2 linked regions of the Xenopus tropicalis genome follow. The protein of the gene in region 1 interacts with the protein of each later gene in a biochemical or structural test. Links are inferred from orthologs where the notes say so. Each region holds a gene or a part of one and is shown on either strand. Other genes may lie near its edges.

What was found.
Region 2: the proteins of snap23 (region 1) and stx2 form a complex in vitro, tested with the Homo sapiens proteins (2 studies listed by BioGRID). The link is inferred for Xenopus tropicalis from reciprocal best matches to the Homo sapiens genes SNAP23 and STX2.

The regions. Positions count from the first base shown.
Region 1 is NC_030684.2:105,570,480-105,574,300, reverse strand, and holds part of snap23 (synaptosomal-associated protein 23), read left to right. Parts: intron 1-91; coding exon 92-140; intron 141-1,278; coding exon 1,279-1,396; intron 1,397-3,821. UniProt on the Homo sapiens protein: Essential component of the high affinity receptor for the general membrane fusion machinery and an important regulator of transport vesicle docking and fusion.
Region 2 is NC_030677.2:157,777,011-157,781,407, reverse strand, and holds the start of stx2 (syntaxin-2), read right to left. Parts: upstream 2,938-4,397; 5' UTR 2,813-2,937; coding exon 2,783-2,812; intron 1-2,782.

The sequences.
Region 1 (3,821 bases):
TCCAGTGACTAGCAGGTTTAGATGTACACAGCAGCATTTATGAAGTAGTTCTTCAGCTTGTTTAACAAATAATGCCTCTCTTTCATTCTAGAGTCAGGATACTGGAATCAAAACTATCACTATGCTGGATGAACAAGGCGGTGAGCTAAATGCATTAACACATGAAACACTTTTATTTGCATGTTTCTCCACATGATAAAACTTCTCTGATGAAATACACATCCTTCTAGACCCCTCCACAGTGGTATTGTAATTTATTAGTTGCAGTGTTTAATGGGTTGCAATACTAAAGCAAGTAGAGAAAAAAGATATAAAATGCCCATTAGGATTATTTGCCTGGTTACCTATGAAACCAAGAAAACAGGAAAGAGATTGCATAGTTTTAAAATGGAATTAATAGTCTCCTTCGCGAGGCAACTTCGGCGATTTGCACGAAATTGCACCGCCGCGTGTGCCATCCCACCGGCGACTAACATTTTCGCCGGTGGGATGGCAGGGGAAGGCAACTCGGGGAGATTAGTCGCCCGCAAACAGGGAGTTTTGTCGCGGGCGACTAATCTCCCCGTGTGCCAGAGCCCTAAAAGGTTAGATTTCATATAAGCAGAAAAGGGAAGCTAACTCCCTCACAATATATTAATACCAAGGCACATTGTCAAATTAGAGATCACTGATATACTTATCTGTAAGAACAGGCGATTGAGATAGCTCTGTTGGTAACTGGTGACTGACATGTGGGAGGAAAGTTTTACTTTTAAACTTGAAATTAAAACCCACACTTCTTGCGCTGCAAGAGAGAAGAATTTGGTTGGGGCATGACTAGAGGGTTTCAGTCTTTGTTAAAATGCTTTAAGTCCCCTGTCAGCATTTCTCTGTGAGTGCACCACGGCTGCTCATTAATAAATGCTTCAAAATCAAATTTACACCCACTTGTTGGGGTGTAACTCTAATATACATTGACTGGAAATGCACTCCAACTGGTTAGAAATGCATCTCTTAATAGTTAAAGTGAATTGTGCTTCAGAATGCCTCATAACACATTTCTGGAGTCCACTGAACCAGCGGTTAAGCAGTATGGGCCCTCATCTTGTTTTGGTTGCAGTTGACATGGATAGTAGTCTGCCACTGCAAATGGGGTAATAAAATTATCTGATTCATTAAAGACCAGCATCTTGGGGTTTTTTGTTTTTTTTTTAAAAAAAAAAAGATATGCATGTGTGTATTGTTCTTCTTCAGAAAATGTAATAATGTTCTCTTTGTGTGCTGACTTTTTTCCTTTAGAACAACTAAATCGCATTGAGGAAGGAATGGATCAGATCAACAAGGACATGCGTGAGGCGGAAAAGAACCTAACAGAACTGAATAAATGCTGTGGCTTGTGTGTTTGTCCTGGCAAAAGGTTAGAGAACCATGCTTCATTAAGGAAAGAGCATATTTTACAGACTTCATAGGATTGCCGATTCTTAATTAATTAGGAACCTTTTGTAGACCTTGACTTTTGGTCTTCAGTGCATAGAGCTGTGTAATGGATTTCTAGAAAACTTTAGAAAGAGGTGGAAAATTCTAGTTGCAGGCTTTAGTTGAGGCTTACTTTTGAGATTGTAGAATAGTCAGGGGTACTGTATTGCTGGACGAGATGTTGGAAATTACACAGGCAGGTTACAGGTCCTAAACAGCCAAATCTCCTATAAACTATAGCAGACGAATGCGATAGCCAAAAGGGCACCATTGCCCCTTTGTAGCTATTGAAGCAGTAGTATGAAGCCTATATTAATATTGACATTGTCATACACCTATTTACACAGTTATGTAAACTATTATTAGTTCTGTCTATCTTCCTGGTTGATATTTACAGTGTCATACCATTGCTGTTCCATTACTTGGTACCCCTCCCTATGTGATAACGAGGGGAAGGGGTGGAAGGGATCAGCACACACAGCATGGGGAGCAGGCACTACACAGCTGCTAGATTACTAAAGTACGCTTTGGTAATTAGGGCACATGGAAAAACATTTTTAAAAGGATTTCACCTTTTGATGATCCTATTCTAAGAAACTTTTCACATGTTTTCTATTTCATTTTTTATGGTTTTCGGCCCGTATTAGCTTTTTTTTCTATTTTGCCATTTTCAGGACTGCTGCTAAAATTGCATCTGATTGTCATTTACTGGATCTGTTCAAGACATATACTATATATTGTGACCAGGTCTGTCCTGGGACAGGACAGGTCTGTCCCAGGCCTAATTGTGCCTTCCATAAGGCCTAGTTAGCCCATGGCTGTTAAAACTCCAAGTTCATTTTGGTCACAAGTGAAAGCAGAAATAGTTCTAAAACCACAAAAACCACAGTTGCATATTGCCTTAGAATAACAACGTCAACAACATACTATGTTCATTTAATATGAACTGACCCTTCTTTGAAGTTGTATCTAGAGATTCTCCTCTAGAGACTGGAATTGCTCACAAAAATAAGCATGAAGCTCATGATCCTTGGGCTCCCCTGCCTCTGAAGTATTAATTTGGAGGATGCTGGTGCAGTGTCAGACTGGCCTGGCAGGGTACTGTGACTTTTCCTGGTGGGCCCTTTGCCTTTTATGGAGCACATTAACTCTTTTTTAGTTTTTACATGTTCTTCTTATGTTTTGTTTATTCCCAGCAGTGAGACTGCTAGGAAAGACTTAGTTAAGGAGTCTGTGGTGGTGTAAGGGGGAAAAAAATAGAATAGTGGAGGGCACTCTGGGCTAAGGTACACTTGCCCTTTAAAAACAATCCACAAAAAAAAAAAAATATATGTATATACAAAAATCCAGGTGTTAGGGTTTCAAAAATCCCCCCCTAAGAGGATTATTTGAGGGTTTTGGTGGTGTAAGGGAAAAGACAGAGGCCAAATTTATTGCCAATTTTCCAGGAGGAAAATCCAGTGAGGCTGTTAAAGGGGATATATACCATACATTTTTGCAATGCACTAAACCATGTAAAATAGAAGGAAGTGCTTTTATTTTAATACCTTTGGGTTCAGATATGTCCATAACTGCTTGAAAACTGTGCTCTACCCAGACCTTATGCCAGCTTCCGGTTTAGACTCTTCAGTATATGGCTCAGGGCCACTGGCCCTCATAGACTTCAATGACACAACCTCACCTACTTAAAGTGAAGTGAATATTCATAGAGTGGGCAGGGCTTAGCAATGTCACAGCAGTCTGTTCCTACAAGCAGAGAGACACAGAAGGAGGGAGGGGTTTTCCCTGCTGCTGCTTAGTTAAGCCTGTCAGTCAGTGCTGTGACCACTTCCTGTGGGAGACTGAAGTGAGTTTTAGGAGGTAAAATGCTTTCAAAACATCTTTCTTTCTGCATCATTTCACATTTTGAGGGAGGATGAATATTATAACTGAATATGAACTTCATATAAAATGTCTCCTTTAATTATATAAAGCTGGCATGGCAGTTTCTCAGAATTTGAATTTGGTAGAGCAAGAGCTAATAGACTCCTCATACAACCATATAGTCTTAGCTGTGAACTGCACAGAGATAGAGATGTTCCGCCGGGGCTCTGTGCTGCCCTCTGCAGTCTGTCTCTATCCCATTATTGCTTTGTGGCCTGACACGGCTTGTACAGCAATACTGCAACAAACAGGAGAGCACAGCTGCCCCACATAGAATTAGTTCTGAATGTGTCTTTTTGAAAGTAGCCACTCTAGTTGCTGTGATATGCCCATAATTAAAATGTATCCTATAGACTTTAGGGCACTGGCATCTAGTGGCCAAAAACAGTGCCTTCTGGTCAAAACTATATCCGTTACATTTGAACAATGAACTTCTCAAACAT
Region 2 (4,397 bases), on another chromosome or scaffold:
GCACATAAATATCTGTCTCACAAAGAACCTTTTGCGTAAACAAAAAAAATTCTAGAAATATGGTAACCCGTGTCAGTGATTTCTATGGAAAAAAAAACAAAATGATGTTTTTCACACACTGCCAGGCATTGTTCTTTAGTGCAGTGCATTAAGCTAAATTTATATTAATGCAGCTAGATCCCATCTTGCATAAACTGAAAAAAATGTGCAAAAACGGGCAATTTGAACAAATTCCAAATAAAATACTCAGATCCGAGAGCATGTTGACTTTTTTGACACAGTGAGATATACATATGGGATATAAAATGCTAACACTGCCCCTTTTAATTAATTTTGGACAAGGAATTTCCAATTAGCCAAGATTTTTCCCCAGGCCAGTGCTCATTTTGGGAAGAAAATCCACTCATCAGGGAAAAAAGCGCAACTCCTTTTTCACTAGTTGTAGAGTTAAATTTTACTGAAATGCGCATGTGTGAGTATAATAAACCTGAAGAGGGGCACCAGGGAAAGGCAAATAAGATTGTGGCATAGCGATGCCTTCATTTATTTTTTTTTCTTTCAGTGGGCTGATGCATTTTTTCATCAAAAAAAGATATATAGCATAAGTTAAAACTAAATGTTTATTAACATTAAACATGACCCCTTTATTGAAAATCATTACTGAAACACCACATGGGGTGTTTATCTCCAGGTTGTGAATCAGACCATGATATCAGCCTTTCCCTGTGCCTGAACCCAGAGCCATTGCATCGGAGAACACAGAGCAGATTTGGCGCTGAAATGCATTCTGCCGCGTATCAGGGTCAAAATCTGCTCAGCCTTCCACCACCTGGGCCAACGCAATGGATTTGAATGCAGGCACAGGAAAAAGGCTGATCCACGGACTGAGAACCAACACCATGTGGCATTAGCCTTAATCTGCTGCATGGGAATTTTGCCATCTGATGCACCATGGCTGCCAGAATAAAATGCAACATTTGCCACTAACAAGATAAAGTCAAGATGCTTGTTCTCTACATGTGTATATTATATATATAAAAAGAAAACATCCAATTTGTTGCAGCAGATTTAGGTCACAGTACACAGACTCAGTTTTCTTACCATTCAACAAACATTTGTTCAGTCACTTGCACCATTGTGAGACAGACTTATTCGACCAGGACCAGAACTACCCCAGCACAATCAATCTTCCTAAATAGATTCCACTCAGCATTCTACTGCACACTTTAGCTAAAGTCCAAGGAACAGAGATTCTGTAATAATTGATAAAAGTCTACAAAATAGTTACTATCTTGTACATTATGCAGCTTTGCCTCCCTTCCTTTTTTTTGTGTTTACGAATGATTTGCCTTTCTATCTTGCCAACCCCCCCCAAAAAAAGGCAGATCAACAATCCTAGTACTTATTAAAGTGGACTCAGAATAGTTAATATTATTTATGTATATGTTTAATCACATTTCCAATTATTTATGGCCTGTGTAACATGAGTGACAGTGACACAGTGTGGACTTTTGAGATATATATATAGCTCTGCTGAAAAAAAACTTTATTAGGTAGAAAGTCATTGGTAGCTAATGGTGGTTGATAATACAGACGAAGTATCACAGAGGGTGAGTCTCATTTGACATTATCATTGAAATTACTAAAGGCCCCAAGCACTTAGCAGACAGTGTTTCTTCAGCAATACTCATTAAGGAGACACTGTCTGTTGCGTTCCCAGGCTTGTGTGTCAGATATCATCCACCCATCAGGCTGAAGCATAGCTACAAACACAGGCGAACCCTGCCTATTCTACCTGTTCCCAGCCTATCGGTCTCTTACTGACCCTGGCAACTAGATATTAGTTTTAAAGCTGCACACAAATTATTATTCTACAAACACCAGTGGAGAGAAGCAGATCCTATGCAATGTGTGACTTTCCCCTAAAACATTTAGGTTTGCCGACTTGCCCAAGGAGGTATGAAAGCTGGACCCAAGTATCATATCAGTTTTGGTGGGACTCCATACTGTTAACAAAAGCCATGCAGGGTACTCTGTAGTCTCACTTTCTCATCCATTTACACTGGAGCACCCCAATCTACTTGTTGCAGCAATTAAAGCACTCCAGGTCGCTATCAGAACCTTGCAGTCACACAGTTCAGAAGGGCACCGAGATAAAACAAAGCTACATACCATAATAGCAAAGTCTAAAGTTACTTTACAAAGTATGTCTTTCTTACAAAGAGGTATCATATATATATATTTTTAATATCAAATAATGCTTCTTCCCGCAACAGCTAATGAACTTGCACCAAATTAAGTTGCAAGAGTAGAATGAATAAAGTTATCCTAAGCAACATTCCAATATACATTATTTATAAGTTTGTACATGTAAATACTATTGAAAACAGTGTTTCTCTCTAGTTCTTCTCTGGTTCTGACTCTTAACCAAATGTGTCAGTTTTCCTCCAACTAGCGTCTCCTACATTGTTTCAGGAGCCAAAGCAACTAGTGCCAAGAATATAAACAGACACCTTAATTTCTCTAAAACCATTACAATTGTTTTTATTGATGAACTTTGGAAAGTTACTTAGAATCACGTTCCTTTTAACAGAAAAAATACAGCGGCTAAGCCCCTTTAATATGTTAGCCTGAATTTGTATGAATGATCTCATAAAAACAACTGAACAGCTGCAGGAAGATGCAGTTGGACGCATCCATTTCCAGCCTACAGTCAATTGGAACATCCCTCAGTCCTAAGGACCGTTACTCAGTTAGCTTGGAAATAATCGATTTCACTCACCGCTGACAACTCTGTCAGCCGGTCCTTCATGCCCGTAAGTGCAGCTCGCCCCCCCAACGTCTCAGGTAGCAGCTTCCCGTTGAGTTTGCAACCACCACCTCCTTCTCTGCTTGGTGCCACAGTAGCCGCTAGTTCCTAGTGGTTATTTGTACCCCAGTGACATCATTGGCACGTTCCGCAGCCGTCATCTTCACGTTATCACGTGGTGTATGGGCGTATCCAAGTGACGTCCTTGTCACGTGATACACTGCGTCATCGTCACGTGGTGTACATGGTGTATATAAGTTCCACCTAAAGGCGCGACTTTTTGAAGTGCGGAGATCCTGAGTCACAGATGCAGAAGTCTTTGGTGCGTTGTCGAGACGACGGTGGGGTACCCTGTGAGTGAGAGATACAGAGCTCTGGGAAGTCTCTCGTGTCTTGTTAGTGGGGCATCTTGAGAGGGTGAGTGTTGCAAATGCGACTTTTGGTGGGGTGGCCCTGGGAGGTTTGGTCGGGCAGATGTGGCTCTAGGCTGTACTACTAGGTGCCCTTCTCTGCATGCCTTTTGCTCCCTACACTGCCTGCCCTGGGGGGGTTAGTGGGGTATTGGGTGGGGCAGCCCTGAGAGGGTGAGTGGCAAATGTGACTTTTGGTGGAGTGGCCCTGGGAGGTTTGGTAGGGCAGGGGTGACTTCTAGGCTGTACTAGGTGCCCTTCTCTGCCTGCACTCTGTTCCCTGTGTGTTCCCCTACTCAGCCTGCGCCCCCTACTCTGCCCCTTTTGCTCCCTGCCCTACTCTGTTGTCTGCTCTCTGCCTGTGTGCCCTACTCTGCCTGCCCTCTTCTCCCTGTGTGCCCCTACACTGCCTGCCCTGGGAAGTTTGGTGGGGTATTGGGTAGGGCAGCCCTGAGAGGGTGAGTGCGGCAAATGTGATTTTTGGTGGGGCTGGTGTTACTACTAGGGTGACTCTAGGCTCTACTACTAGGTGGCCTTCTCTGCCTGCCCACTTCTCCCTGTGTACCCCTACTTTGCCTGCCCTCTACTCCCTGCCTGTCCCCCCTAGTCTGCCTGCCCTCTGCTCCCTGCCTGTGCCCCTGTGTCTACCTGTGACTCTAGGCTCTACTACTAGGTGCCCTACTCTGCCTGCCCACTTCTCCCTGTGTACTCCTACTTTGCCTGCCCTCTACTCCCTGCCTGTCCCCCCTAGTCTGCCTGCCCTCTGCTCCCTGCCTGTGCCCCTGTGTCTGCCTGTGACTGCTAGGTGACTCTAGGCTCTACTACTAGGTGCCCTACTCTGCCTGCACCCCCCTACTCTGCCTGCCCTCTGCTCCCTGACTGTGCCCTCTGCCCTACTCTGCTCTCTGCCTGTGCCCCCCATACTCTGCCTGCCCTGGGAGGTTGGGTGGGGCAGCCCTGAGAGGGTGAGTGTGGCAAATGGGATGTTTGTTGGGGCTGGTACTACTGCCTGTGCCCTCTGCTGTTTTCCTGTCCCCCCTAGTCTGCCTGTCCCCCCCTGCTCCCTGCCTGTGCCTACTAGGGTGACTCTAGGCTCTACTACTAGGTGCCCTACTGCCTGCCCTGGGGGGGTTAGTGGGGTATTGGGTGGGGCAGCCCTGAGAGGGTGAGTGTGGCAA